Linked DNA regions of Ovis aries. The protein of the gene in region 7 interacts with the protein of the main gene of each other region in a biochemical or structural test. Links are inferred from orthologs where the notes say so. Each region holds a gene or a part of one and is shown on either strand. Other genes may lie near its edges.

What was found.
Region 1: of the proteins of MAPK3 (region 7) and DUSP3, one has a biochemical effect on the other in vitro, tested with the Homo sapiens proteins (2 studies listed by BioGRID and IntAct). The link is inferred for Ovis aries from reciprocal best matches to the Homo sapiens genes MAPK3 and DUSP3.
Region 2: of the proteins of MAPK3 (region 7) and DUSP1, one has a biochemical effect on the other in vitro, tested with the Homo sapiens proteins (2 studies listed by BioGRID and IntAct). The link is inferred for Ovis aries from reciprocal best matches to the Homo sapiens genes MAPK3 and DUSP1.
Region 3: the proteins of MAPK3 (region 7) and HDAC6 form a complex in vitro, tested with the Homo sapiens proteins (2 studies listed by BioGRID, with this or other methods). The link is inferred for Ovis aries from reciprocal best matches to the Homo sapiens genes MAPK3 and HDAC6.
Region 4: the proteins of MAPK3 (region 7) and PTPRR form a complex in vitro, tested with the Homo sapiens proteins (2 studies listed by BioGRID). The link is inferred for Ovis aries from reciprocal best matches to the Homo sapiens genes MAPK3 and PTPRR.
Region 5: of the proteins of MAPK3 (region 7) and SREBF2, one has a biochemical effect on the other in vitro, tested with the Homo sapiens proteins (2 studies listed by BioGRID). The link is inferred for Ovis aries from reciprocal best matches to the Homo sapiens genes MAPK3 and SREBF2.
Region 6: of the proteins of MAPK3 (region 7) and PTPRJ, one has a biochemical effect on the other in vitro, tested with the Homo sapiens proteins (2 studies listed by IntAct, with this or other methods). The link is inferred for Ovis aries from reciprocal best matches to the Homo sapiens genes MAPK3 and PTPRJ.

What each region holds. Positions count from the first base shown.
Region 1 is NC_056064.1:43,407,285-43,411,228, reverse strand, and holds part of DUSP3 (dual specificity protein phosphatase 3), read left to right. Parts: intron 1-3,188; coding exon 3,189-3,394; 3' UTR 3,395-3,944. UniProt on the Homo sapiens protein: Shows activity both for tyrosine-protein phosphate and serine-protein phosphate, but displays a strong preference toward phosphotyrosines. Specifically dephosphorylates and inactivates ERK1 and ERK2.
Region 2 is NC_056069.1:4,709,566-4,714,290, reverse strand, and holds DUSP1 (dual specificity protein phosphatase 1), read left to right. Parts: upstream 1-1,598; 5' UTR 1,599-1,839; coding exon 1,840-2,206; intron 2,207-2,481; coding exon 2,482-2,627; intron 2,628-2,991; coding exon 2,992-3,211; intron 3,212-3,641; coding exon 3,642-4,012; 3' UTR 4,013-4,691; downstream 4,692-4,725. UniProt on the Homo sapiens protein: Dual specificity phosphatase that dephosphorylates MAP kinase MAPK1/ERK2 on both 'Thr-183' and 'Tyr-185', regulating its activity during the meiotic cell cycle.
Region 3 is NC_056080.1:56,245,778-56,249,721, forward strand, and holds part of HDAC6 (histone deacetylase 6), read right to left. Parts: intron 3,748-3,944; coding exon 3,621-3,747; intron 3,525-3,620; coding exon 3,459-3,524; intron 3,367-3,458; coding exon 3,307-3,366; intron 3,228-3,306; coding exon 3,138-3,227; intron 2,815-3,137; coding exon 2,708-2,814; intron 2,619-2,707; coding exon 2,551-2,618; intron 2,292-2,550; coding exon 2,120-2,291; intron 2,031-2,119; coding exon 1,902-2,030; intron 1,744-1,901; coding exon 1,575-1,743; intron 1,249-1,574; coding exon 1,115-1,248; intron 596-1,114; coding exon 527-595; intron 417-526; coding exon 224-416; intron 1-223.
Region 4 is NC_056056.1:149,062,173-149,066,116, forward strand, and holds part of PTPRR (receptor-type tyrosine-protein phosphatase R), read left to right. Parts: intron 1-2,610; coding exon 2,611-2,766; intron 2,767-3,944. UniProt on the Homo sapiens protein: Sequesters mitogen-activated protein kinases (MAPKs) such as MAPK1, MAPK3 and MAPK14 in the cytoplasm in an inactive form.
Region 5 is NC_056056.1:218,721,311-218,725,254, forward strand, and holds part of SREBF2 (sterol regulatory element-binding protein 2), read left to right. Parts: intron 1-3,296; coding exon 3,297-3,486; intron 3,487-3,944.
Region 6 is NC_056068.1:76,756,895-76,760,838, forward strand, and holds part of PTPRJ (receptor-type tyrosine-protein phosphatase eta), read left to right. Parts: intron 1-1,925; coding exon 1,926-2,183; intron 2,184-2,948; coding exon 2,949-3,224; intron 3,225-3,944. UniProt on the Homo sapiens protein: Tyrosine phosphatase which dephosphorylates or contributes to the dephosphorylation of CTNND1, FLT3, PDGFRB, MET, KDR, LYN, SRC, MAPK1, MAPK3, EGFR, TJP1, OCLN, PIK3R1 and PIK3R2. Plays a role in cell adhesion, migration, proliferation and differentiation.
Region 7 is NC_056077.1:26,691,893-26,696,329, forward strand, and holds the start of MAPK3 (mitogen-activated protein kinase 3), read left to right. Parts: upstream 1-1,331; 5' UTR 1,332-1,353; coding exon 1,354-1,526; intron 1,527-2,553; coding exon 2,554-2,736; intron 2,737-4,437.

The DNA.
Region 1 (3,944 bases), on a different chromosome or scaffold from region 7:
TGCAGACAGAATTCTTTCTTCTCCAGGAAACCTCAGTTTTTTGCTCTTAAACTGATTGGATGAGGTCCACCCACCTTATCAAGGGTGATCTCCTTTACTTAAAGTCAACTGATCGGAGGTGTTCATTACATCTACAAAATCTCTTGTAGTGTTTGACCAAGCAATTGGGTGTCATAGACAAGCCAAGTTGACACATTTAACCATCACAACCAGCAAGTTAAAATTTAAACCCAGATTCCTATGACTTCAAGGATTGGGGGTTCTCAGTCCTTATGCTGACAAAGGAAATAGTTGAGCTGGGGTCTTAAGGATGAATAGGAGTTTGCCAGGTTGCCAAGAGGGAGAGGGTGTTCCAGGTAGGAGGAACAACATGAGCGAAGGCACAGAGGTGAGCATGAATAGCCTGGAAAGGTGTCGGGGCTGCGGGCAGTTAGCCTGGTAAGTAACGTTTTGGTGGCTAGCCTACCCAACTAATGGTGACAGGTCACATTTATATTGGAGAAAGCTCCCTCCAGCTGTTGTGTAGGTTGGTGGAGGGTGAGGGTGGAGGGAAAGCTTAGTTTGGAGGTGAAGGGGCAGAGGTGAGAGATGATGAAGACCTGAACTGAGCGCTCTGTGTGAGGAGAGAGTAGGGATAAGAGAAGCCAAGGCTTCTTGCTCAAGGGGCCTCCCCACTTTGATAAAAGATTGGAGGAACCTTGTTGATGATGCTCTGGCCTCTCCTGACCATCCCTTCCTTCCTTCATCCAATGCTGGGGATACAACAGGGAGCAAAACAGACAGGCATCCCTACCCTCGAGGAGCTTACATTTTGGGGGAAGATGACAGTAAACAGTGAAAAACATGTGTGGCCCCCAGGGGATGGGGGTGACTCAAGCAGGGAGCAAGGGGATGACAGGGTATAGAGAGTGGGATTGTGGCTCTTTAAAGGTAGGCAGGAAAGACCTTCCTAGGACACTGGAGCAACACCTGGGAAAAGAGGTATTGCAGGCAGGCTCCAGTCCATGGGGTCGCTAAGAGTCAGACAGGCCTGAGCAAGTAAGACTTTCACTTTTTGCAGGCCAAGGTGCTGGCTGGCTGGATTGGAGGGAGGAGGGGAACGAGGAGATGATGTCAGGCAGGGGGAGGGGACGGATTTAATAGTCTCCCTGGTGGCTCATACTGTAAAGAAGCGGTCTGCAATGTACATTGGGTCTCTTACATTTGATCCCTGGTTCAGGAACATCCCTTGGAGGAGGGCATGGCAACCCACTCCACTATTCTTGCCTGAAGAATTCCATGGACAGAGGAGCCTGGCAGGCTGCAGTCCTTGGGGTCGCAAAGAGTGGAACACAGCTGAACAACTAACACATACATTCATTGTTTTGATTCTCTGTGTTTGTATTTGACATTCACGGTCCTTCTATTTTGAAATGGTTTTGTTGAGGCATTAATTGACATTCCCTAAACTACACATAGTAGAGTTTGGTAAGTTTTGACATATGTATACATCTCTGAAGCCATAACTACACCCAAGATGGTGAGTTTATCCATCACCCCACAGATTTCCTTCACCTCCCTTTGTGACCTCTCCCTTCTGCTCCTCTCTATCCTCCATTCCCAAGTAACCACTGATCTGCTTTCTATCACTAGACATTAGTGTACGTTTTGTAGAGTTTTGTGTAAATGGAGTTGCACAGGATGTGTGCTTTTTCGGTCTGGCCTCTTTCACTCAGCATAATTCTTTTGTTTCTTCCATGCTGTTGCCGTAGCAGGAATGCCTTTTTAATGCTGAGTAGTGTTCTGTTGGATGGACATTCCATAATTTGTTTATCCATTTACCTGTTGATGGATATTTGGGTGGTTTTCATATTTTGCTTTTGCTTGAAATGGAAAATTCATGTAGGTTAGTACCCGTATCGCAGTGTGTAGATCAGTGCACTGCACACACCCGTGTTTTTGTTGTTCGGTTGCTAAGTTGTGTTTGACTCTTTGCGACCCCATGGACAGCATGCCAGACTTCCCTGTCCTTCACTATCAGCCCCAGATCAAGAAACTAAACCTGACCAGCACCCCAGAACCCCCACATGTTCCTCCCAGTGTCGCATCTCCCACCTCCACACCACTATCCAAACTTCTAACCGCGTAGCTCAGTTTTGCTGGCCCCCTTTTTTTTTCAGTTTTGTCTTGGCCACACCTCGCAGCATATGGGATCTAGTCCCCTAACCAGGATTGAACCCGTGCCCCCTGTAGTAGAAGCCCCGTGTCCTAACCGCTGGACCACCAGGGGATTCCCCTGACTCTTCTACTCTGTGGGATCATACACATCCTATTTGTGTGTTTCATCCAGTTTGTATCTGGGAAGTTGTTGACTGTTCAGACTCAGTATTCATCTACTTTTCTGTTGACCAGCCTCTGGGAGTTTCCAGTATGGGGCTATTGTGACTAGTGCTGCCTATGACGTCCTGGTGGGATTCTTTTAGCAGACGTGTGTTTGCAGTCCTATCTGGCGTGAGTCTGGGATGGAATTGCCAGGCCCTGGGGGATGCACATGGTCAGCTTGAGTAGATCCCATCACATGGTTTCCTGAAGCCATGATCCCCTCCCCAACCACGGTAGCTCAGCTGGTAAAGAATCCACCTGCAATGCAGGAGACCCTGGTTCAATTCCTGGGTAGAGAAGATCTGTTGGAGAAGGGATAGGCTACCCACTGCAGTATTCTTGGTCCTCCCTGGTGGCTTAGCTGGTAAAGAATCTGCCTGCAATGTGGGAGACCTGGGTTTAATCCCTGGTTTGGGAAGATCCCCTGGAGAAGGGAATGGCTACCCACTCCAGTATTCTGGCCTGGAGAATTCCATGAACTGAATAGTCCATGGGGTCACAAAGAGTTGGACATGACTGAGCGTCTGTCACTCTGTTTTTCACTTTCTCGAGCCACAGATCAAAGTCCTAGCAAAGCGTCAGACATGACTGGGCAACTATCACTTTTCCTTTTCACTTTCCCCAGCCACAGATCAAAGTCCTAGCTATGCTCCACATCCCTGACAGTGCTTTGTGTGTTTTATCTTTATCTTTGCCATCTTAGCCATTCTGGTGGGCCCAGGATGGCCTGGCAGTGTAATTTGCATGTGCATGTCCTGGGAAGAGTTCTGACTAGAGTTGAGGTGTGGTGGGCCAGCCCCAGCTCATCACGTCCCCGTCTCTCACAGGCCGAGTGCTGGTCCACTGCCGTGAGGGTTACAGCCGCTCCCCAACCCTCGTCATCGCATACCTCATGATGCGTCAGAAGATGGATGTCAAGTCCGCCCTGAGCATCGTCAGGCAGAACCGTGAGATCGGCCCCAATGACGGCTTCCTGGCCCAGCTCTGCCAGCTCAATGACAGACTCGTCAAGGAGGGAAAATTGAAACTCTAGGGCGCCCCCACTGCCTCTTCTCTAGAGGTCAGACGCGGGTGGGGGTCCCTGGTTGTGATGTCACAGGCTGCCATGTTTAGGAAACACAGTGTACCCTGCTCCCAGAATCACCAGGCACTTGCCCACACGTCTGTCCCAACACGGCCCTGGGCCGCTTTTCCCCTGGGGAGCATATAAAGAAGCTTGCTGAGGAGGGCGTCCTGCTCCCTGGCGTGTCCTGTGCCTGCAGTTTGTGACGTCCTCACCCTGAGGTGGGGGCCCAGAGGGGGAAGGCCTGCGACAGGCGTGCTTCTCCTGGACGACCCAGGGCAAGAGGTCTGTGGAAGTGCAAGGCCTGAGATGCTCACAGGGGCCCCTCCTGACCTCCCCCGTCCCCTACTCCGAGCCCCCACCCCTGGGCCCTTTCCTGAGTGGGGCTCTGTAAAGGAACTATGCAAATGTGGGCCCCCTCCCCCCACTGTGTCTGTCTCCCCCGAATCTTCACAGCCGTCCATGCTCTGCTCACAGAGACACGTCATGAGGTCTGAAGTTGGCTGGGGTCAGTTGTCCG
Region 2 (4,725 bases), on a different chromosome or scaffold from region 7:
TTTTACTTTTTTAGAATTTAGGCAGAAAGTCTGAGCATGTGAGAACACTAAGCGAGGCAAATGCAGAAGTTGCCTCTGCTGATACAACCAGCGGATCAACGACACTGGGTGTTAGTGAAATACCCCGCTCTCCTAGAGGAGAGGGGAGGAAACCACAGAATGTTCCTGACTCAGCACCCCAGCCTGATGGCGCAATATTTGTGTTTGTGTGGTGCTGCCGGGGATCGGGAGGTCGGAGGGCTTCACTAGGGCCCAGGATGAGGGTGACCTTATGGAGGTCTCCCCAAACCTTTGTCCAGGTCCTGTAAATCCTCTTAAAATGCTGTAGGATTATATTTCAAGACCAGCTCACGTTGATGGCAAGAACCAGGGCCCTGGGGCTGGACGGTGCTCCGGTTCCCAGTTGCAGTCCCCAGCCCGGCGCTTAGTAGGCGCTCAATCAGTACATGTTTGGGGACTAAAAGAAAATCCCCAGGAAAAGGGAATGGTAACCCACTCCAGTATTCTTGCCTGGGAAATTCTATGGACAGAGGAGCCTGGTGGGCTCCAGTCCATGAGGTCGCAAAGAATCTGAAGAAACCACCACAAAGAGATGAAGCCGCTGAGACTTAAGAAAACGCGAGCAGAAGAAAGGTGTCTGGCGGTCCCTGCGGGGGCGCTGTCGATCCGCACTGGGCGGGGGGTCGCCTCACTAAAAGCCGGACGTCCGCAATCCACAACCGCACCTTGCGGCCCCCACCCTCATTTCAGACCCCTGACCCGCCTTCCTCGGCTCACAACCACGTAAGGACCACATGACTAGGATTGACATTTTTCTGCTTGGGGTTTGGTTGGACCGCATTTTACTTGTTAAATGTACATTTTAAAGTAACAGGAAAGCCTGGGGAACAGGAATGTATTTCCCTGAACACCTCCACCCCAACCTACCCCGGTTGTTCTTGAGCGGACAAACTCAATTTTTCTCCGACCCTCATTTCAGTCTCCCCTCGGCCCGCTCACCCCCAGCAGTGCGATACTGGGCAAGTATAATAAATCGCTTCTCCTCGGGAACCCGTGTTTCCTCGCCTGCTGGGTACGGGGAAATGAGAGAAAGGGGCGCCTGTGTATCCAGTAACAAAGGAGACCCCTTTCGGCTCCGGTCGGCGGAGGAGCGGGCGCCGGGACGCGGCGCGGTGGAGGGGGTGGAAAGGGGGAGGCGGGGGCCCATGGCACGCGGCCCGCTCCCAGGCACTCGCACACGGGAGTCAGCCCTCGGCTGGCAGAGCGCCCACCCTCTCCCCTCCCCGCTGGGCCCGGAGAGTGGCCCGGACCAGCTCCCTAGGGACGCGCCAGGCGCAGGCTGGACGGCCGGGCGGAGGCCGAAGCCCGAGCCAGAGCTTAGCCAGCGGACCCCACTCGGAGGCCGCTGACGTCTTCGCCTTTGGCTGCTCCGGCGCCAAACCCGGCAAGGCGGGTGACGTCACCACACCAGTCACGTGACCGTCATTCAAACAAACAATCCCCTCCCCCACAGCGCGCGCGCGCGCGCGCCCCGCCCCGCGCCGCCCCGCTTGCTTACGCGGAGCCACAATATAAACGCTCTCCGCCGGCTCGGACTCGCTGCGAAAGACTTCGGGGCCCTGGGCGAATCGCGGGTGGAAGGGCCGTCGGGAGAGCAACAAGGAAGCCGAGGCGGTCGAGAGTCCCACACGGCGACCCCTCGCTCGGTCCAAAGGCAGTTTGGGTTTGGCGCAAAGAAAACCGGGGTCGGGCTTTTCCTCGAAAGCCATCGCCCTGCTGTTCGCTTCCCGGGACAAAGAACGTAGGACGACTTGCACGCTGGGGGCGCTGGGGCCGGCCATGGTCATGGAAGTGGTCTCCCTGGACGCCGGAGGCCTCCGGACGCTGCTGCGGGAGCGCGCGGCGCAGTGCCTGCTGTTGGACTGTCGCTCCTTCTTCGCTTTCAACGCCGGCCACATCGCCGGCTCGGTCAACGTGCGCTTCAGCACCATTGTGCGTCGGCGGGCCAAGGGCGCCATGGGTCTGGAGCACATCGTGCCCAACGCCGAGCTGCGCGGCCGCCTGCTGGCCGGCGCCTACCACGCAGTGGTGCTGCTGGACGAGCGCAGCGCCGCGCTGGACTGCGCCAAGCGCGACGGCACCCTGGCGCTGGCCGCCGGCGCGCTCTGCCGCGAGGCGCGCAGCGCGCAAATCTTTTTGCTCAAAGGTACGCCTTCGGGGACGCTCAGGGGCGGGCCTCACGCCCTCCGCCGCCTAGTCTGGGGACCCCTGGTTCTCAGCTGCGGGGGGTGCTGCTCCACCTGAGAGCTTGGACGCCTGAGTCGCATTGTGGGGACTTGTTGGCTTTGTTTGGCTCTAGGAACAAAGACTCGCCTGGGGCTCCCCGGGCTAAACTTCCAGCTCTGGTGGATGAGGAAGTTGTATGAAGGTACCCTGTCTCGGCGGTACTAATGAAAAATATGTGTCTCTTTGTGTTCCCAGGAGGATATGAAGCTTTTTCTGCTTCCTACCCGGAGCTGTGCAGCAAACAGTCGACCCCCATGGGGCTCAGCCTTCCCCTGAGTACTAGTGTCCCTGACAGCGCTGAATCGGGGTGCAGTTCCTGCAGCACCCCGCTCTACGATCAGGTTAGTAGGGGGCTGTGCCGGAGGGGAGAAGGAAGAGCTGGCAAAGGTGGCAGAGCCGCGCTAGTGAAAATATAGAAAGTGACGTGCAGCTTTATTTATAACAGGGGACACAGGAGATTTCATTTATCCCGTGGTTACATGGCATGATGGAGCCGAGCCTGTAATTGTTGGCACTACAGAAATTAGCTTGTTGGCCCTGCCTAGGCAAATGGGTTTAGTCCCTTATTTATTGACACTCTTAACAGTGCTGTGAGGTTCACCCAATATTGAAACTAACTTATCCAGGAGGGAGGTTTTGTGGATGTGGGCACCACCATTGCCGTTGAACAAAGCTTGACAAGCGTTGGATGTTTCTGGATTTCAGGGTGGCCCAGTGGAGATCCTGCCCTTTCTGTACCTGGGCAGTGCCTATCATGCTTCCCGCAAGGACATGCTGGATGCCTTGGGCATCACTGCCTTGATCAACGTCTCTGCAAACTGTCCCAACCATTTCGAGGGTCACTACCAGTACAAGAGCATCCCCGTGGAGGACAACCACAAGGCAGACATCAGCTCCTGGTTCAATGAGGCAATTGACTTCATAGGTAAGTGGAGCAGATGCCTGGGACTTTGCCACACTCCTTCTGTTTCAGTGACTGAGACTAAATTCCATGGCAAGAACTTGAGCAACATAGATTTAAGCTTTCCTCTAGACATTAAAATCAGTCTGGCATGGGCAGCATCCCTGCAAAGTACAGTTTCGATGTCCCACTTTATAAATTAGCAAACTGAATCTCAGGTTGAATTGATCTGTCCAATATCAATCTGCTTAGTGGCGATGCCTTGCCTGGGTTTAAATCCCCGGCTGTTTAAATCCACTGTGCCCACATTGCCTTCATGGACAGTATGTCTGTGATGACATGAGGTGATATCGACCATACTGGACAGGACACATGTGGCATTTCTTAGACACCTGGGGTTGGTTGGAGTTATTCTCCTGGGCTCTCAAATAACCAGCTGCCCTTTGTTTTCCAGACTCCATCAAGAATGCTGGTGGAAGGGTGTTTGTCCACTGTCAGGCGGGCATTTCCCGATCGGCCACCATCTGCCTCGCTTACCTCATGAGGACTAACCGAGTCAAGCTGGATGAGGCCTTTGAGTTCGTGAAGCAGAGGAGAAGCATCATCTCCCCCAACTTCAGCTTCATGGGCCAGCTGCTGCAGTTTGAGTCGCAGGTCCTGGCCCCCCACTGCTCGGCAGAGGCGGGGAGCCCCGCCATGGCTGTGCTTGACTGCAGCACCTCCACCACCACTGTCTTCAACTTCCCGGTCTCCATTCCCGTCCACCCCACAAACAGTGCATTGAGCTACCTTCAGAGCCCTATCACGACCTCTCCCAGCTGCTGAAAAGCCACGGGAGGTGATCTTCACAACCCACCGGGATTCCAGGCTCCTGGAAAGTGGAAATGCAATAACTCCAGGGAAGGGGGCTCGTGAGGGCTGGTCTTTATTTATTTAATTTCACCCAAGTTCCACTGGGTTCCTGAGCAGTTGTAATGATGACTTCACGCCAAGATGTTTGCTGAACTCAGCACATTTCGGGACCAACATACAGTGCGTACATCAAGTCCCTCGGACAGAAAGGGGCAGAAGAGAGAGGACTCAAGTGTGAGAGCCGATTTCTCTTTTTGTCCCTGTTTTCTGAAGACACTTTTCATGCTTGACATACCTACCAGTATTACCATTCCCGACAACGCATATACATATGAGAATATACTTTGTTTTATTTATTTTTGTGTAGGCGGTCCACCTTCACAAATGTCAGTGTCTACTCCTAGAAGAACCAAATACCTCAATTTTTGTGTTTGAGTACTGTAATATCCTGTAAATATATCCTAAGCAGGTTTGTTTTCAACACTGGAAAGCACCAGTGTTGATTTTGTTTTGTTTTTTAAGTTGCCAACAGTTGTATGTTTGCTGATTATTTATGACCTGAAATAATATATATCTTCTTCTAAGAAGACATTTTGTTACATAAGGATGACTTTTTTATACAACAGAATAAATTATGGCATTTCTATTGAAATCTCGATGCTTTTCTTGGTCAGCCCTCTGATTCC
Region 3 (3,944 bases), on a different chromosome or scaffold from region 7:
TACTCTCACACACCCAGAAGTCCTCACAGTTACACACAGAGGGCAGTCACAGACAGATACTGCACAGACATACCCAAAGGCCATCACACAGTCACATCCCCTCACCCAAAGCCATCACTACTGTCACCCACAGGCCCTCTCACAGGATCAGTCACCTGTAAGTTAGACACATGCACACTCACTACCACATACAGAGTCTCATCACGTGCACCCCGAATCATACCTCATAAGCAATGGGAAGCACCAGACGGTGCCAGGCAGCCAGGTAGTCAGCATCACCCATGCGGGGCCCATTCCAGGCCACATTGACAGTGAATCCTGTGCCTGTAGCTTTACCTATCCGGGTACAGGCACCCTCATTCCCCATGGGAAAGAAGGTACCATGATCATAGCGGTGCAGGGAAATGTACAGCACACTGTGGGGACAGGGTGGGAAGGGGGGACAACAGCTGGTTAGCAAGGTGCCCCTGAGGCATGGCCTGCCCATCTCCCTGACCACACTCCAGCCCCTGCCCCAGCCCCTCACCTGGGGTCCTCCTCAAATATGTGCTGAGTTCCATTACCATGATGGATGTCCCAGTCCACGATCAGGATCCTGAGGAGGGGACAGCACCTTAGTTACCTGGCAACACTGGTTCCCTGGGGGAGGGCAGGGGCTACATCCCTGGAGTCTGTGTGCCGGGACATTTACTGCGGGTGGCAGGACCCTGAGTCCCTGGGGAAAGCGCTGGGTGGCAGGCTTGTGGGTCCTATCAGAGTCCTAAGGGCTTCACAGTGGGCCAGAGCAGGTGCTCAGGGCCAGATCCTAGGCCCCATGTGGATAAGTGCCATGGGCCTTTTGAAGTAAGCACCAGAAGCCAGCCCCTGGGTTCTGTTAGGATAGTCATCAAGGGCCAGAAATTCTGGGGCAGGGGACCTTGGATTCTGTTTGATAAGCACCTGCATGCCACAATCTGGGGATCCCATTTGGGTCAGGCCCCAGAAGCTAGATCCTCCTTGGTCCTTTTCTGGAAGTGCTGGGCAACTGGACCCTGGGGTGGTCCTGGGTAACTTTGGGGGCTGCATTACAGGGCCTGCTGAGTAAGCACTGGGCAGTGGGGGCAGGGAGCCTTACCGCAGTGCATGCCCACTGATGGCCTGGGCATGGCGAGCAGCCACAGCCACAGAATTAAAAAAACAGAAACCACAAGCTGCATCCGGCTCTGCATGGTGGCCAGGAGGTCGCACTACAGCAATGCCATTCAAAACCTGGGGGAGGGGCAGGAAGCAAAGATTAGACCACCCACCCTCACCGCTTTCCCTCCCCTTCCCTGTCTCTTGTGCCCCTACTACTCCACCAGCTGCTAAGGCCTCCTCCCCACAGCCCTGTAGGCCCCATCCCCCTGGGTGCACTTCCCTGTGAGTAAGGCCTCTGGCGAGCTGGGGCTGTAGTCCCCTTCCATTGCGGACTGCTCTCCAAGTCCCCTTTCCTCAGGCCTGGCCCAACTCTCAGAGCTGCCTCTTTCTTGCCCGCCCCCCCCCTCCCAGGACTTCCTTGCCAGGAGCCCAAGGTCCCCTCCCCAAAGCACAGGCACCTCTCCTGCCAGTACTGCCTCCACCAGGCGACAGGCGGCGCCTGCAGCCAGCTGTGCGCAGGCAAAAGTGCTGGAGCAGATGTAGATGGAGTCATAGTTGGCACCCTCACGGCGCAGCTCCCGGGTCTTCATCTTCTCCGTGGCCCGCAGACGTTCCAAGTGCTCAGCACTGGAGGTACAGAGGGGGCACTTGAGAAGACAGCCAGGTAATTCTGTCCCCTCCACATCCTTCCCCACCCCATGTCTTGTAACAGCTCCATGTATCAGAGAGGCAAGCCCAGGCTCCATGCTCTGAGGCCCATCCTACCCTGGCCACATGGGTCTGACCTGTGGCAGGTGAGCAGCTCAGCATCTGTAGCAGGCCTTGCGGGCAGGGAGTGGCAGCGCTTGGCAAGGCCCAGTTCGTCCAGGTGATGCATGATACAGTGGATGCGCTGGGGCATCTCAGGGTGGTAGCTAGGAGTGAGGGAACAGAGGCAGGGCTTACTACTGAAAGCGGGGGTCCCTCCCCACTTCCCACTTAGCCTGGTTCTCTGACTGCTTACTTATCCCACAAGTTGTAGTGCTCCATCATCCGCTGGTCATAGACCAACCCCGTGCGAGCCTGTAGCACCGGCCATATCGGAATGGAGAGCTCAGAGGACTGTGGCAGTTTCTCTTCCTCCTTCTCTTCCACATCATCCTTCTCCACAGTGTCCTTTTCTTCCAGGCTCTCAACTGCAAGGGGAGGCCACATTCACCCTACTCCCTTATGCCGCCCCCAACCTAGATCCCTGTAATACTCTGGAACGAGGTTTACCCAAACCTAAAAAGGGGTGGGAGGCCTGAAATCAGGGCCCAGTAAGAGAGAGGGCATGATTCTCCCCTCCCCCCAGCAAGGTGGCTTCCGGAAGGTCAGAGTGGGGTCTGAAGAGAAACTCCTCCCACAGCTCATTCCTTACCCAACCCCTGACCCAACATACTCCCTGACACCTACCTGATCTCACAAGGCTCTCCCAGAAGGGTTCCAGGGCTTCTAGAGCACAGGAGAGTGACACCTGGGCACTGGAGGTCAAGTGAGGGAGAAATGTGACCAACCAGCTCCTGAATGAGCAGTGAGGGGCCTGCTTCTCCCCTCCTCCACCTGGGCTTACCTCGGGCAGGGGGCACCAGGAGACTCTAACATAGGACAAGGGTCACCCAGAAGGGTGTGGAGGGAGGCGCTGACACCTTCAGCCAGAGAGCGGAGATTATAGCCACCCTGGGAGAAGGAATTCATGTGAGGGTGGGCAGGAAAGAGCCAGATGTTATCAGAGAAGAGTATGAATGACACTGGGGTGGTGCTGGCTGCATGCCAAGGCATTTGAAGGGTGATTTCATTTGCTGAGCAAATAGTCTGAGGTGGTTACAACTATTATGATACACCTCTGACATAAGGGAAGCAGAGGCCTAGGGAAGTTGAGGGACGTAGGTGAGGTTGTCCAGCTAGTAAGTGGAAATGCTGGGACAGGAACTTCTGCCAGATTTGAATGTTGTTCTTCTGTCTTCCAGGATCCAAGGGCTGAAGTGGAATGAGTCACTCACCTCCAGTGAGAGGATCAGCTTGCCTTCTGCCAGACCCATGAGCAGATGGGTGAGCTGGGCGAACCCTGCTGGAGTGGCGGCCATCTCACCCTGGGGGGGACACGGAGGGTCAGCCTGGCTCCACAGGGCCTCCTTCTGCCCTCCCGCCATCCCCAAGTACCTGCCTTACCTTGGGGTCCCCTTGGAGGGCATCAAATCCAGCGGCTACCAGGACCAGCTGGGGCTGGAACTGAAGGAGGGAGGAATCACATGAGGCCACCTGCTATCATGGCCCATCCTTCAACATCACCTCTGCCCCAGCACACCCCAGAGCCCCAGGACCTCAAATGCAACTGGCAGGAGGACGTGAAGGAAAGCGGCGATGTAGTCAGCATCTTGCATCCCCACCTGCAGACAGGGAGGTATAATGGGGACGTGCTGCCATCTGCTCTGAAGGGCAGAAGTGGGTCTCACTTTGGGGGTGAAGGGTATGCAGACACTGACCTGGTTCCAAGGCACGTTGATGGTGTATCCCTGGCCTTGGCCTAAACCTGTGGTGGACCAATTAGAGGCCTTAAGATGGGGCCAGAACCGACCTTGCTCATAGCGGTGGATGGAGAAATAGAGGACACTGGAGGCAGAGAAAAAAAAAGAGGTGGGGGGTTCAGTCAGTATTCCCCAGAAACCTCCAACCCACAGCTACCACAGTTGACTTAACCACTCATTCATTCTCTCAATAATTTCCCCATGAATTTTTAAATTCATATATTCATTCTTCCATTCAGTTGCCAAATTATTCATCCTCCCATTCATTAATTCTTCCATTTA
Region 4 (3,944 bases), on a different chromosome or scaffold from region 7:
GGGCTCAAGAATAATGAACAATAATAAAGAACACCCATGCTGTCATTTTATGGCTCATGAGCCAAATCTGGCATAACACCTGTTTTTGTCAAAGACGTTTTATTGTAACAAACCGTAGCCATTTGTTTACATATTGTCTAAGGCTTCTCTCATGCTACAATGGCAGAGTTGAGTAGTTGTAACAGATCGTCTGTCTAAATTGAAAGTTAAAATATCTGTTATCTGGTCCATTACAGAAAATGTTTGTCAACTTTCTCATAGTTCAAGACTAGCTACCCTGGTAGGTAAAAATAGAAAGGCCCTGAATACCTGTCTCACCAATCTGACACTCCTCCCAAAATATTCTCCCTAAGAGAGAAATGTTTTGTATCAGGCAAGACTCTGTCTCCAGACAGCATCTATTAAAATCCCTTTAGGTATAAGAGGATAAAGGATAGTGAACACGAAGGCAGAGGATTTTGAATAAAGAGTGAAGAAGAACCATCCTGAAGGACAGCAGTCCAAGGAGAATGCAAGAATAGTCTTGAAAAGTCAAGAGAAAACTTGGATGGGTAATTGAAGTGGGACGAAGTAAGCCCAAGGGATCTTTTCTATTAGGCCCACTTTAGACCTATCAATCAGCCATATCCTTTCTTTTCCTCCTCTCCTCAATATTTAGGGACTTTGATATCATCCAACTACATGTTCCCATCTGTACTTGAAAGTGGGTGTGAGCAAAAGAAAGGCAGATTAAAATATTATGATTTTCTCTTTGTAAAAAGCATATTATCAAAGCTTCCTGTGAAAAGGGACTTTGGAATAATATTTTACAGTTTTAAAGTTGTTCTTAATTTCTGCTGCCTTAGAAACTCAAGCAAAGACTTCTCGTTCTCCTTGCCCTAAATTCTTAGGCTCCTGCTCGGGCCCAGTTTCATACTGCATCAATACCTGCATTTCCACATATGGAGAAGAATTTGCTTTTAATTTTGGTTTAGAATTATTATTTCTTTTCCTTTTTTCCTGTGTGGCAGATGAATTACGTTCATCCCCATAATAACTTTTATTCTGTGAGTCAGCTAATCTCTGGGACTAAATAAGATTTTTTAAAAAAAACAAAGTTTTTGACAATAGAAGAAGAAATATAGCATTTCTCATTACCTTGAAAGAAGTTATTTATATCCAGAGTGTACCTAACTCAAGTGAGAAGTGAGGTATTATAGATGTCTTAGATCTAGATTTTATATATATATGTACTTAGATATCTTAGATATACTCTTCTGTGTGTAGATTTAAAGAGTATAATGGCTCTTTGAAAGGGTAAAAGAGGGGTTTGCCACACCTAGAGAGGGATATGCATATCTTCAGAGAATGTTAGCAGCATTTATGCATGTCTGTTTCTAAGAGTAGTTTTTGTAATAGTTTGAGTTATGACGACACCTGAGGAAGCACAGTATAGTGATTAAGAGCAAGTGCTGTGGAGACAGACCCAGAATTCTATTTCATTTCCAGTTTGGCCTTGCCCCAGCTCTATGACCTAAGGCAGGTTACTTAGTTTCTTTCATTTATAACATGAAATGACTATAATACCTCTGTCCTGGAGGTAACAGGTTTAAGGCACAGGGAAGCATGACAAGTACAAAACAAGGGTCTCTCCCTACTATCATTGCTATTAGATCATAAACTATTTGAATTATTATCAACATCTTTCACATCAGCATTATGTGATATCCAGTTGTTGTCTGTTGTTTGCTGCAAACACAGAAACATTTTTCCCTGGATTGCTAGCTGTCCTCCATTTTATACCTGAGTGAATGTCTGATAAATTACATTCAAAGAAAATATTCCTTTAAAAAAAAAAAAGAAAGTTTTCTAGCAGGATAAAATTCTGTGTATTGAAAAGAAAAGCTAACCACATTTTCTTTATAAGTGTTTTGCGTAAGTTGTGAAAGAGAATCTGTCGATGGCAGCATCATTTTGTGTCATGTTTGTTTCTTATGGGTGTGTGGCACATCAGCCATTTATGGTAAGAAGTCCTCTCACCCTGTCCCAGCAAATGAGGTCAGACTAATAGGAAAGTAACATGATATCATTGCATAACACTTGCATTTCTACCGAACAATAGATCTTAAGAGTGTGACATATTTAAGGTGAAAAACAGGATCAGGGAAGTAAGTTCAAAGACAGCATCGCCTTCCTTAGTTAGTCCAGTCTTCACATTAATGCAAGTTATAAGATGGGGTGATGATGTCTTATAATTGTACTGTTAAATCAGATTTTGCTTAGTTCATTCGATTTTAAAATACTTCTTTAAACACAATTTCTCAGGAAACATCTGAACAATATATCTCAAAAATTATAGTATCGAATAGAAAATAAACCAGCATCTAATGAAATATAAAATTAGAAAACTAGACATGTTAACTAACTGAAAGAAGGCCATTTGAAGATGTGGGACTTTGGGCTGCTAATTTTAAGTGTACAAAAGAATACTTAATAAAAGTGATCTCCAAGATGCCATTTAGGAATCTAAGGTTCTGGTTTTCTTTAATATTTCTAGAGGAAAAGCAAAAAATATTTCCCAGACTTGCTTCACATGTCTACTAACATATACAAATAATCTGCTTTTCCTAGGAAAAGAAGAACAGTGTTGAACTATTTGTGTCTCCCATAAATCGGAAAGCAGGGTTTTCTGATGCTCTGCCATCTGAAGAAGTGCTGCGTTCCCTCAATATCAATGTTTTGCATCAGAGTTTATCCCAGTTTGGAATTACAGACGTCTCCCCTGAGGTAGGTTGTTGCGTGGAATATTTCATTTAAAATTTTGCACAGTTAGTGTGACACAACCCAATTCTAGGAGACTCTGAGATGAAAGCTGTTGATTGTGTGTTAACTGATAATATAAAAATCTCCCTTAGGGTCAAAATTCTCTGATTTCACTCTGTGTATTTTTATTCCTTAAGGAAGTTCATTTTCATATCAAAGTTTCACTTTTTGACAATTTCTTCTCCAATCTTTATGGCCTTATAATTTATTTTGACTTATTCAACAAAATGTCCAGAAGAAAAGTCATTTAGATATATTTGTCAATTGATTGCTTATTACTGAGCTGTTCCAAAAAACACCCTGATATCTTTCCTCCTCAACAGTTTTGCTTCTCATTGTTTTTGTTGTCAAAATGGTCACTTTTTCCCACTATGAAGTGAAAGTCACTCCGTTGTGTCTGACTCTTTGCGACCCCTTGGAATTCTAAATGAAATAAAGTAGTTTCCTTTCGGCTGTGCTGGGTCTTTGTACTGCACGTGGGCTTTCCCTAGTTGCAATGCCTGGACGTGTCACTGCGGTGGCTCCCCTGTTGCGGAGCACGGGCTCTAGGGTGCATGGGCCCCAGTAGTTGTGGCTTGTGGGCTCTAGAGTACAAGCTCAGTAGTTGCAGTGCACAGGCTTAGTTGCCCCACAGTATATGGAATCTTCTCAGACCTGGGATCAAACCTTCGCCCCTTGCCTTGGCAGTCAGATTCTCGACTACTGAGCTGCCAGGGAACTCCACGTGTGTGTGAAAGTGAAGTGAAAGTCGTTCAGTCGTGTCCATCTCTTTGCAACCCCATGGACTGTATAGTCCATGGAATTCTCTCAGCTGGAATACTGGAGTGGGTAGCCTTTCCCTTCTCCAGGGGATTGACCCATCCCAGGGACTGAACCCAGGTCTCCCGCATTGCAGGCAGATTCTTTACCAGCTGAGTCACAAGGGAAGCCCAGGAATACTGGAGTGGGTGGCCTATCCCTTCTCCAGTGGATCTTCCCGGCCCAGGAATCAAACCAGGGTCTCCTCCATTGCAGGCGGATTTTTTACCAACTATCAGGGAAGCCTACCATGGGATTAATATGAAATGTGGTTTTTTAATTGGAGAGAAATCCAGTCTTTAGAACTACGAATATTTCCTTTACAGTGTTTTCTAAATTTGGCA
Region 5 (3,944 bases), on a different chromosome or scaffold from region 7:
CATTTCTTTTGCATGGGGATAGTCTTGATCCCTGTTTCCTGTACAGTGTCACAAACCTCATTCTATAGTTCATCAGGCACTCTATCTATCAGATCTAGGCCCTTAAATCTATTTCTCACTTCTACTGTATAATCATAACGGATTTGATTTAGGTCATACCTGAATGGTCTAGCGGTTTTCCCTACTTTCTTTAATTTAAGTCTGAATTTGGCAATAAGGAGTTCATGATCTGAGCCACAGTCAGCTCCTGGTCTTGTTTTTGTTGACTGTATAGAGCTTCTCCATCTTTGGCTGCAAAGAATATAATCAGTCTGATTTCGGTGTTGCCCATCTGGTGATGTCCATGTATAGGGTCTTCTCTTGTGTTATTGGAAGAGGGTGTTTGCTATGACCAGTGCATTTTCTTGGCAAAACTCTTATTAGTCTTTGCCCTGCTTCATTCTGCATTCCAAGGCCAAATTTGCCCGTTACTCCAGGTGTTTCTTGACTTCCTACTTTTGCATTCCAGTCTCCTATAATGAAAAGAACGCCTTTTTAGGGTGTTAGTTCTAAAAGGTCTTGTAGGTCTTCATAGAACCGTTCGACTTCAGCTTCTTCGGTGCTACTGGTTGGGGCATAGACTTGGATTACTGTGATATTGAATGGTTTGCCTTGGAGACAAACAGAGATCATTCTGTCGTTTTTGAGATTGCATCCAAGTACTGCATTTCGGACTCTTTTGTTGACCATGATGGCTACTCCATTTCTTCTGAGGGATTCCTGCCCGCAGTAGTAGATATAATGGTCATCTGAGTTAAATTCACCCATTCCAGTCCATTTTAGTTCGCTGATTCCTAGAATGTCGATGTTCACCCTTGCCATCTCGTTTGACCACTTCCAATTTGCCTTGATTCATGGACCTGACATTCCAGGTTCCTATGCAATATTGCTCTTTACAGCATCGGATCTTGCTTCTATCACTAGTCATATCCACAGCTGTGTATTGTTTTTGCTTTGGCTCCATCCCTTCATTCTTTCTAGAGTTTTTTCTCCATTGATCTCCAGTAGCATATTGGGCACCTACTGACCTGGGGAGTTCCTCTTTGGTATCCTATCATTTTGCCTTTTCATACTGTTCATGGGGTTCTCAAGGCAAGAATACTGAAGTGGTTTGCCATTCCCTTCTCCAGTGGACCACATTCTGTCAGACCTCTCCACCATGACCCGCCCATCTTGGTTTACCCCATGGGCATGGCTTAGTTTCATTGAGTTAGACAAGGCTGTGGTCCTAGTGTGATTAGATTGACTGGTTTTCTGTGAGTATGGTTTCAGTGTGTCTGCCCTCTGATGCCCTCTTGCAACACCTACCATCTTTCTTGGGTTTCTCTTACGTAGGGCGTGGGGTATCTCTTGGAGTTTCAGCTTCAACATCAGTCCTTCCAATGAACACCCAGGACTGATCTCCTTTAGAATGGACTGGTTGGATCGCCTTGCAGTCCAAGGGACTCTAAAGAGTCTTCTCCGACACCACAGTTCAAAAGCATCAATTCTTCTGTGCTCAGCTTTCTTCACCGTCCAACTCTCACATCCATACATGATCACTGGAAAAACCATAGCCTTGACTAGATGGACCTTTGTTGACAAAGTAATGTCTCTGCTTTTCAATATGCTACCTAGGTTGGTTATAACTTTCCTTCCAAGGAGTAAGCGTCTTTTAATTTCATGCCTGCAATCACCATCTGCAGTGATTTTGGAGCCCCCCCAAAGTAAAGTCTGGCACTGTTTCCACTGTTCCCCCATCTATTTCCCATGAAGTGATGGGACCAGATGCCATGATCTTCGTTTTCTGAATGTTGCGCTGTAAGCCAACTTTTTCACTCTCCTCTTTCACTTTCATCAAGAGGCTGTTTAGTTCCTCTTCTCTTTCTGCCGTAAGGGTGGTGTCATCTGCATATCTGAGGTTATTTATATTTTTCCCGGCAATCTTGATCCAGCTGTGCTTCTTCCAGCATATGTTAAATAAGCAGGGTGACAATATACAGCCTTGACGTACTCCTTTCCCAATTTGGAACCAGTCTGTTGTTCCATGTAGGTTTCTCAAGAGACAGGTCAGATGATCTGGTATTCAGTTCAGTTCAGTTCAGTTCAGTCGCTCAGTCGTGTCCGACTCTTTGTGACCCCAAGAATCGCAGCACACCAGGCCTCCCTGTTCATCACCGTCTCCCGGAGTTCACTCAGACTCAAGTCCATCGAGTCCGTGATGTGATCCAGCCATCTAATCCTCGGTCGCCCCCTTCTCCTCCTGCCCCCGATCCCTCCCAGCATCAGAGTTTTTTCCAATGAGTCAACTCTTCTCATGAGGTGGCCAAAGTACTGGAGTTTCAGCTTTAGCATCATTCCTTCCAAAGAAATCCCAGGGTTGAACTCCTTCAGAATGGACTGGTTGGATCTCCTTGCAGCCTGGTATTCCCATCTCTTTAAGAATTTCACTTATATATGGAATCTTAAAAAGAAAAAAAGTACAAAACAGAAGCAGATGCTTAGATAAAGATAACAAATGGGTAATTGCCAGAGGGGAGGGGTGTGGGAGGGTGAGTGAAATAGGAGGGGGAGACTTAGAGATACAGACTTCCAGATAAAAAAATAAATCAGTCAGAGGGAAGAGCTTTACAACATGGGGAAAATAGTCAGTAATGTTGTGATAATTTTGTCTGGTGACAGATGGCAGCTAGATTTATTGTAGAGATAGTGTCATGTATGAAAATAGTCCAAGCACTGTGTTGTGTACCTGGAACCAACATAATGTTTGTAGGTCAATTATACTTTAACTAAAAAATAACAATAAATGAGTAAATCCTTTCTAGGTTTTTAAAAAAATGATACAGAACATATTCATCTCCCATGAATGTACACTTTTGCAGGAAGTTCACCCATACCTCTCCAGGCGCAGAGTTAACTTCTGATTTTGCCTTCAGTCGCTTTAGATCAGCTTGCCTGTTGTGGAATTACACAGAAGCAGAATCCCTCAGGGTGTTCTCTTTTGTGTCGGAGCACTGTGGTAACAGCAGGGCCCCTCTCCCTCCGGTCTTTAGAATGCATTCTTCTCCCAGGTGGGCCCTCCCCCTTAGGCGAGGGCCCCGTGTCTGAGCAGCAGTGGGAGAGGCGTGAACCTCTTAGTTCCCTCCTGAGTTTATTCCCATCCAGCTTCATGGTCTTGAATTTAAATCTCAGAGTCCCGATTCCGATATATAAAAAGTAAAATGCTATAAAAACTCACTGCAGTCTTCCTTCTCGCCTCGCGGCCCCCTGTTTCGAAGGTCAAAGATGAGCCAGACTCTCCGGTCGCGCTGGGCATGGTGGACCGCTCCCGCATCCTGCTGTGTGTCCTCACCTTCCTCTGCCTCTCCTTTAACCCCTTGACCGCTCTGCTGCAGTGGGGGGGTGCCCACGATGCAGACCAGCACCCGCACTCAGGCCCTGGCCGTAGCATGCTATCACTCGAGTCAGGTAGGTGGAGGGCGCCTTGGGCCACCCGGGCACGAGTGGGCTACTGTGGCAGAAGGCGGCCCTACTTGCAACCCACTTGGCTTGTCACCAGGTCCCAAAGGGCTTTCACAGTGGGCCCCACCTGCTTGCTTCTGATAGTGTCCAGCATCAGTTGCATGTACAAGTAACAGGACAAACCTAAGTTCAATCAGAAATAGCGAAACAAATCAGGACCCTGCTCAGCTGTAATTGGGGTTTGGGGGTGTGCCTGTTTGGAGGAGGATGTGGTCTTGCTGCCTGAGTCGTTAAACCAGCTGCGAGCCCTGCCTTGGCCAGCAAAGATTTGTGTGGCATTCTGCCGCGCCATGGTGACAAGGGCTCCAGGGCTCCCATCGAGGCTGTGGAGTTGTCCCAGATTTTCTACAGTGTGGATTAATTGCATGTATTTATTTGTGCTCTAAGCACTTAGACATTGTTAC
Region 6 (3,944 bases), on a different chromosome or scaffold from region 7:
GGGTCCCTTCGATGTTGTGTGACTTGCCAATTCTCAGAGTTTAATCCAATAATAACATTATGTAGTGGGGGTCTACAAAGTGCTGGGCTCTCAGCCTTTGTATTTAAACATTTTGAACACAACTCTATGAGGTAGGTACTATTATCATCTCTATTTTATAGAGTAGGAAACGGGGAGTCTGTGAACTTAAGTAACTGACCCAGGGTGACAAGGGAGTGAACTGGCCTCTGTCTGACTTTGAAGACTGAGGTCTTAACCACGGTGTGGACTGCACTTCGATATGGAGCAACTGCAGAAGTAATTTAGGACTATTTGTAAGGAGAAGGCATCTCTTGTACTATTGCTTATAATCGTCCCAATGAATGGAAATCAAGAGCTGTTACTGGGGGAGAATCAATGTAACAGCATTAAAGGTGATTTTGAAAAAGGGAAGCAAGTACTGGATGACCCAGCAATTCCACTCTTACATGTATACATATTTCTAAAAGAATTGAAATCAGGGACTTGAACATATTTCTCAACACCAACATTCATAGTAGCGTGATTCACAATAGCTAAAAGGTGGAGGCAGCCAAGTGTCCTGTCAGCAGATGAAATGTGTTATATCCATAGAATAGAATAGTTGTTGTTATTTAGTTGCTAAGTTGTGCCTGACTCTTTCGTGAGCCCCGTGGACTGTAGTCCACCAGCCTCCTCTGTCCATGGGATTCTGCAGGCGAGAATCCTAGAGTGGGTTGCCCTTTCCTCCCGCAGGGTAGCTTCCAGTCTGAGGGATTGAACCCGCATCTCCTGCGTTGCAGGTGGATTCTTTACCATCGAGCCACCAGGGACGCCTCACAATAGAATGTTGTTTAGCCACACAGGAATGATGCACCAAGACATGCTACAGTGGGAATAAGCCTTGAAAGCATTATGCTAGGCAAAAAAAGCCCGACGTGGAAGAACAGCTACCACGTGAATCCACTTATGTGAGGCGCCTAGAACTGGCACATTCATAGAGATGGAAGATAGAGCAGTGGGGAGAAGGGAGGAACAAGAAGTTCTTATTTCACGGGAACAGAGTTTGTGTTGGGCATCATGAAATGCTTTGTGTTTAGACAGTGATGATGGTGTTATCCATGCTGTTAATGTATTTAACGCTGCTGAGTTGTACACTTACAAATGGTTCAGATGCTAACTGTTGCACCCTTTTTATTTTACTACCACAAAATTCAATAAAGACTTTAAAGATGGTCCTTGTTAAAAAAAAAATCTTAAAAAAAAAGATTCTGTGCAATTATATTGCGGCTGGTTCAGTGTGTAGAGGTGAGACGGTGAGTGCAGAGCCCAGAGCATTCTGGGTAGTTTCGCTTCTGACTCCCTGCTGTGAGGATGCGCCCCGTGGCTTCTCCGCCTTCCGCACTCCAGCCTCAAGTGATCCCACAGTGTCAACTCTCCATTTCAGTTTTTCTCTTCAGTATGCCTGCCTATGTTATAGAAAGATGTTTTCTTCCGAGGGAGTGGTTTTTAAAAACTTTGCTGAGATATAATACTTACGCTGAAACACACACACATCCTAGGTGCATAATTTGATGCGTCTTTACAAACCGAACCCATCTGGTCACTAGCACTCAGATTAAGAAAAACTGAGCATGGTTTCCACTCTAGAAGACCCCCTCCCAACCACCCCCAAACCAAGGGGATGTCTCTATGACAAAAGCAAAAGGCCAGAGAACTGATAGGATAGGTTGGTAAATTCATTGGTGTTGCAGAAGAGCCAAGAGTCTTGAAAGAAACTGTTTCTTGCCTGCGTGTTAGAGAGGTTGCCCTTTGTGAACTCATTTGATGACAGAAGAGCAAGTTCTCTGGGCAGATACTTTAGAATAAAGCTGGACATTACGATGGTCATTGACAGACTTCCCTTTTTCTTCCTTTCCTCTGCCCAGACCCCAGTGCAGTGTTTGACATCCGTGTTGTTAACGTCACCACAACCGACATGCAGCTGCAGTGGCGGAACACAGACAACGCTACCGGGTACATCTACAGCGTAGAAATATGGTCTGAACACGGCTCTGATTTGAAAAACAGTTCTCACACAGGGATCACCTTCCACGGCCTGACCCCGGGCACCTTATATACAATCACAGTCACCCCCAGCATGAACTTGGTCCAGGGGGTGGCCAACTCCACTCTACAGTACACACGTGAGTGTTTTAGGACACCCTCCTGAGGAAGCATTTTCCCAGCCTTTCACCTGGAGGAGGGGAAATAAGCACAGGTTCAGTGACGAGGCAAGAGGCCCTTATGTTTCTGGGCTCCAGGTACAATGTGAAACCAAGTAAGCTGAAGACATTGGGCTCAGTCAACGTTCTGCCCTGCCCTGGCGGCACTGGTGCTGAGCCATGTGAACTTGGAATTGTCTTCCGAAGCAGAAGGGCATCCCATAAGCATGGGGAGCATCTGTATTCATTCATTCCTCGGGAATACAGACTGGAGGAGGGGTCACCCGGTCATGTTGACATGGAAGATGCTGCCCAAAGGACGCAGTTTCGCATGCACCAGTGAGGGACATGCTTTGGTAATATTTGACCTAAATATATGGTAGAGAGGGAAGTTGATAATGTCTTTTTTGTATATTTTTGTTTCATTAATCATATTTTAAAAACAGGTGGGAAATTACATCTTGAAAATAGATTTCAGATAAAGTATTAAAAGAAGTCTGAAAAGCTTCAGTTCTTTTGAGATTTAATCTGCATAATTATTTTCTAAATGTCTTTTTGGGGAAGCCTCCTCTTTTTTGATCCCAGCAAGTATTAGCTTTATTTATTCTTTACCCAAAGGACCAGTCTATTTTTATTTTAAATTTAATGAAAAAAAAAAGAAAAAAAATGTCCAGGCTATTTTTAGATGCAGTCAATAAAATGGCTCAAGTTAATCCATCCTTTTTTTTTTTTCCCCTAAAACTTAAGGGCCCAACAAGGTGTCCAGCATTGAGATAATGACCAATACCACAGCAGCAACCTTAAACTGGCAGAATGTTGATAAAGCCTCTTCAAACTATACCTACTGCCTTCTTATTGGGCGGAATGGAAGTTCCAGCAACGCCACGCCAATAGTCACAGGCATCGGCGTTACCCAAGCTACAGTCACCAAGTTAATACCTGGTTCCTCCTACACCGTAGAGATCTTCACGCAGGTGGGAGATGTCCAGTCACCTGCACCCGGCAGGCAGTCATTCTGTACAGGTGAGTAGTCCTCAGGGGCCTCTTGGATTCCTTCTTGTATCATGCTGACCTTGCACATAGGTCCTTGCAATAAACTCTAGTTGGTTAGTTTTCTTGCCGACCACCATGGCATCTTAGTTTTCCAACCAGGGGTAGAACCTTCACCCCGCTGCAGTGGCCCACCAGGGAAGCCCCTCGAGTTCGTTAGCTTCTGTGTGGTGTGTGAGCATCCTGTTATCTCATTAGTGCTGTCTTGCTGCCCTCGTTGTTCATTCATTCCGCAGATATGTCCTGAGCATTTACTGTGTGTCAGGTACTGTCAAAGGTCACAGATGAGTCCCTGCCTTTCTGAAATTTTCATTCTGGTGGCAGAAGACCAATAAGCGAGAAACGTAGGTTATTAGGTGACGATTGCTGCTGAGGAAAGAGAAGTAAAAAGGATAGGAGAAATGAGATGTTTATCTTGGGGAAGGCTTTGTCGAAAAGGTGACTTTTGAGCAAAGACTTGCAGGAAGTGAAGCCAGTCACGTGGACGGGAGAGACGGGCAGTCCCAGTGCGGAGATCCTGGGCCTGGAGTGTGCCTGCTGTGTTGGAAGAACAGCAGGAGGTCAGGATGGCAGAGGTGGAGGAGGTGAGGCCCACGGGGTGAGGGGCCAGGGCACAGCTGATGTCAGGCCTTGCAGCTCAATCGTTTGGCTTTTACCCTGAAGAAGACAGAAAGGATATAGTTAAAAGGGATG
Region 7 (4,437 bases):
TCTAATTATGAGCAATTTCAGAATCATAATTTCTGTTCCATTTTGTCTCTTGATCTTTAGTGCATACAAGGACATACTCCCAGCTTCCAAGGAAGACAAAAACAACGTGATTACTTCCTGAAGCCTAGGAGATGTGTTTTGTGAAGCTCCCAGCTCACATCTTCACTGTGAAGTGGAGATGGATTGGATGGTCTCTTCAGTTTAACAGTCTGGGAGACAGAATGCAATTAAAAAGAACTTCTGCCTGTGTGTCAGAAGATACATGTTAGTCTCAGCTCCTCAACTCTCAGATTTCCCATTCTGTAAAACTTTGATTCACCTATTCCAAAATTTTTGAGTGTCTACATTTGACTGTAGGGATGGGGGTGGGTGGGGGCTACAGCAATGAACAAGACAGACATGGCCCTCTGCTCATCCAGCTCAGAAAACCAGATGACACCTACACTGTGGGGTGGTTCTAATGAAGAAATTAAAGTGGACCAAATGCTGTGTAAACTATGAAGTCTAGCACAGGAGCAAAAGATGATGATCTCGGTTCCAATTTTTGTCAAATCCAAGGACAACAAAAATGTTAGCTATCCTGCTGTTTCTGAGTAAAGCCTGAGAGTGTATTTTTCACCAAACCCAGTCCACGCAGCCCTCACCTCTTCCCTATGCCTCCATGTAAAGGTAGGCTGGGATTATCTGTCCTCAGGATACAGGCACTGCCAGGTTGCTGAGGTCCGGTCCCTAGCCCACTTTGACAGGTCTCCATTCGAAAACCATTAGGCAGGGAGTCAAGATGCCTGGGCTTTCCAGCAATCAAGTTACCTTGCCCAGTCACCTTCAGTTTCCACATCTGTGAAAGAGGCCCCATGTGTGAGGAAGCCACCTGTCACGGCTACTATGAAATAAGCATCATATCACTCGGCATCGGGCCTGGCTCCAGGAGGTTCCACCTCGAGCCCCGGGCTACTCCTCGGGCCGAGTGGGCACAGCGGGGCCACGTGGCCCGGTCTGGGTCCCAGCTCCAGCACTCATTTGCTAGGTGGCTCTGGGTGAGGTCACCGGGCCGCCCTACCGGTCAGCATTCGGTGGCGGGGGTGGGGGGGGAGGGTCTGGACAGTCTCGAGACTGCCCTGGGGAGCTTCTACGTTGACTGGAGCAGACGAGGCCGACAGGTGCCAGGGACCACAGCCCCAGCAGCGGGAAAACGGCGCGCGCGCGGCGGGGAGAGTCACGTGACGCCGCGGGGGCGGACGGGGGCGGGGCCTGGCGCGCGCGGCTCCGCGGGTGAGAGGGCGGGCGGGAAGGGGCGGGGCCTCGGGCGGGGCCGCCGGGGGGAGGCGGGCGGGCGGGAGGGGAGGAGTGGAGATGGCGGCGGCGGCGGCGGCTCAGGGGGGCGGGGGCGGGGAGCCCCGGGGAACTGATGGGGTCGGCCCGGGGGTCCCGGGGGAGGTGGAGATAGTAAAGGGGCAGCCGTTCGACGTGGGCCCGCGCTACACGCAGCTGCAGTACATCGGCGAGGGCGCGTACGGCATGGTCAGGTGAGGGGCGTTCTGGGGGAGGGGGCGTCTCTGGGGAGGGGGCGGAGAGGGGTGCTGAGAGCTCTCTGGGCCTTGCGGACTCTGAGCATCCTGAAGAAGCCGGGGCTTCAGGAGGCTGGGGAGCGTCCCAGGCGGAGGGCCTTTGAGTGCTTTCTGGGGGAGGGGGTCACTGCGTAAGGTCTCAGGAGAGGAGGTTTGGGAGCTTTGAACTGACTATTCAATAATGAAGGGTAGGGCATCAGAGTGTATGTGGGGGAGCTCTGGGGACCTTGGGGACCCCATAATCACGGGGTGAGGAGAAGAGAATTAGTCTTCTTGGGGAGGTGATATCCTTAGTGAAGAAGGAGAGAGGGTCCCCTCACTGGGGAGAGGATGTCTTGGATCACCCCCCAGTGAGGCTTGCCAAGGAGTTTGGGAAAAAAGAGCAAAGCTCAGGGCTGGGTGGGGTGGGGTGGGGCTTTGGGCCTGGGGCCAGGGACCCAGTGAGCCATGAGGGGTCCAGGAACACCTTCCTGCAACTTTTAGGAGGGGTCTGTGAGTTCTCCTATCCGCACTGGGTGCTCTGGGCCTTTGTTCAGCTGGACATAGCTCTGCTGCCCAGGAACCTCCCCCTGACACCCGCCCCGGCCCTGCCTCTCCCTTCTCTCCAGTCCCTCCTCCGACTCCCTCCTTCTCACTGTATTTGCCTCATTGTCCAGTCCTCCACATCTCCCACCCCCTGGACCCGTCTTGGCTTGAGAGAGCCCATCGTGGGAAGGGGAGGATGAGGGGTCAGGGCAGCTCGAATGGAAAGGGTTGAGGAGAGGGGAAGTCAGTGAGCGGTCAGTCTCTTCCTCTGTTTGTGAAGTCACCGAAGGGCTGGCTGGCTGGTCCCCAGCTTTCTCCCTGGAGATCCCAGGCCTTCACAGCAGGAAGGAACTAGCATTGTTTATGACTGGCCAGAGCCCTCTCCTGCTCCCTCCCCGCCCTGCCAAGGCCTGGGTGGGGCCACCGGGCCTGGACACCAACATCTCTCTGGCCCTCTCAGCTCAGCTTACGACCACGTGCGCAAGACTCGAGTGGCCATCAAGAAGATCAGCCCCTTTGAGCATCAGACCTACTGCCAGCGCACGTTGCGAGAGATTCAGATTCTGCTGCGCTTCCGCCATGAGAATGTCATTGGCATCCGAGACATTCTGCGAGCACCCACCCTGGAAGCCATGAGGGATGTGTATCCTTCACCTGGGCCAGACGGCTGGCCAGGCCCAGCCTCAGAGCCGGGCTGGGAGAACAGGGGCTTGTTTTCTCTTCCCTTCTTCCCAACCTCCCTCCAAACAAACCCAGTAAAGGAAACTTTCCAGCGGTCAAGAGGCCACAGTGTAAGAAGGCAGAGAGGCCTCAGATGAATCCTGGCCTGCTGCGGCCAGGCAGTGTGGCCTTGGGCAAGTCTGTTCTCTCGATCTTGGCTTCGTAGGGGGCTGGGCAAGATGAGCCCTGTGGAAGCTTTGTCCTCTGACATCGGCAATTCTGTGAGGAGATCCAGCCTCTGCCCACAGTCAGCTCTTCTGTTTAACTGATGGCAGTTCTTGTTTCTCTGGGTCCTCAGACTGGCAGGAAGGCAGGCGGGAAGAACACTGCCCTGTTTTGAGGGCCTACTGTGAGTCTGGTGCAGCTCAAGCCGAGTGCTTTGACATTTCCTATTCTAACTCCCAACTGCCCTAGGAGATGGGTCTCAGCAGCTCCATTTCAAAGATGAGGAAACTGAGGCTCAGAAAACTGAAATAAAATCAAGTGCTTCTGTGGCTGCCTCTTCCCCTCCCCCAGACAAGAACCTGTCCCCTCTCTGGGACTTCCTGCTCAGAGTCCCACCCCAGTCACCTGTGGACTCGTACCTTGCCCAGGGAGGAACAGACCTGCCTTTGTGGCCCCCCCGACCCACACACACACATTGCTTTCCTAGTTTGTGGGTCCACTTCCTGCCTGGCTCTGTTAGGAGCTTTTACACTCATCACCTCTCCCCTACCCCACCCACCCCCACCATCCCAGTCCTTCCCCCAAGAGTGGTGATCTGTACTGCACTGTTTGCAGCCCCCACCACAAACTGTGGGCAGGAAACTTCCACACTCACCCTCAGCTTGTCGTGTGACCTTAACCAAGTCACTGCAGCATGCCGGGCCTCTTCATCTTTAAAATAGCAGGGTTGGTCCAGGTGTTCTCGGAAGGCCCTTTTGAGGCTGACTCTGAAAGACAGCCATAACTGAGTCTTCCAGAAACAACCCACATGACGTTTATTTGTTTGTTTATGTTTAATTCTTTTTTTATCTTAGAGTATAAAAGGACATTTACTCCTCTGTCTTCGGGTGTAGGGCCAAGCCCCCGGAGTAGGAGCGTGCCGCTGGGAAGTTTCTCCTCATTCGTCTTGCACAAACCATCCCCATAAGGCAGGCATTTATTTTTAAGCAAACATTTATTGCCTGCCAGATGGTGTTCATACATAATCTCATTTAACCTTCTCAACAGCCATGTGGCTCAGTCTTTTATAACAGCAATACTAGTTCACATTTGCCGAACATTTACAACGTGCCAGGCACCAAGCTGGCTGCACTGCCTGGGTCATCTCTCAACTAATCTTTACCACCACTCTCTAAAAAGGATTTTTTTTCCCCTTTACAGATGAGGAAGAGAGGCGCAGACAGGGCTTGAGTTCCTAAAGTGAATGAATGACCAGTGCAGGAATGATTGACAGTGGCAGGTGAACTCCAGAGTTACTGCTCTTAGCTGGGACGTTCTCCTGCTTCCCAGTTTATTATCCCCATTTTCTCAATAGGGAGACTGAGGCTACAGAACTGCGACGCTTTGCTCAGGGTCACCAGCTGAGATCCAGCAGAGGCCTTGAGTTCACCTGCTAAGTGTGGGCCTTGCCCAGCTCATG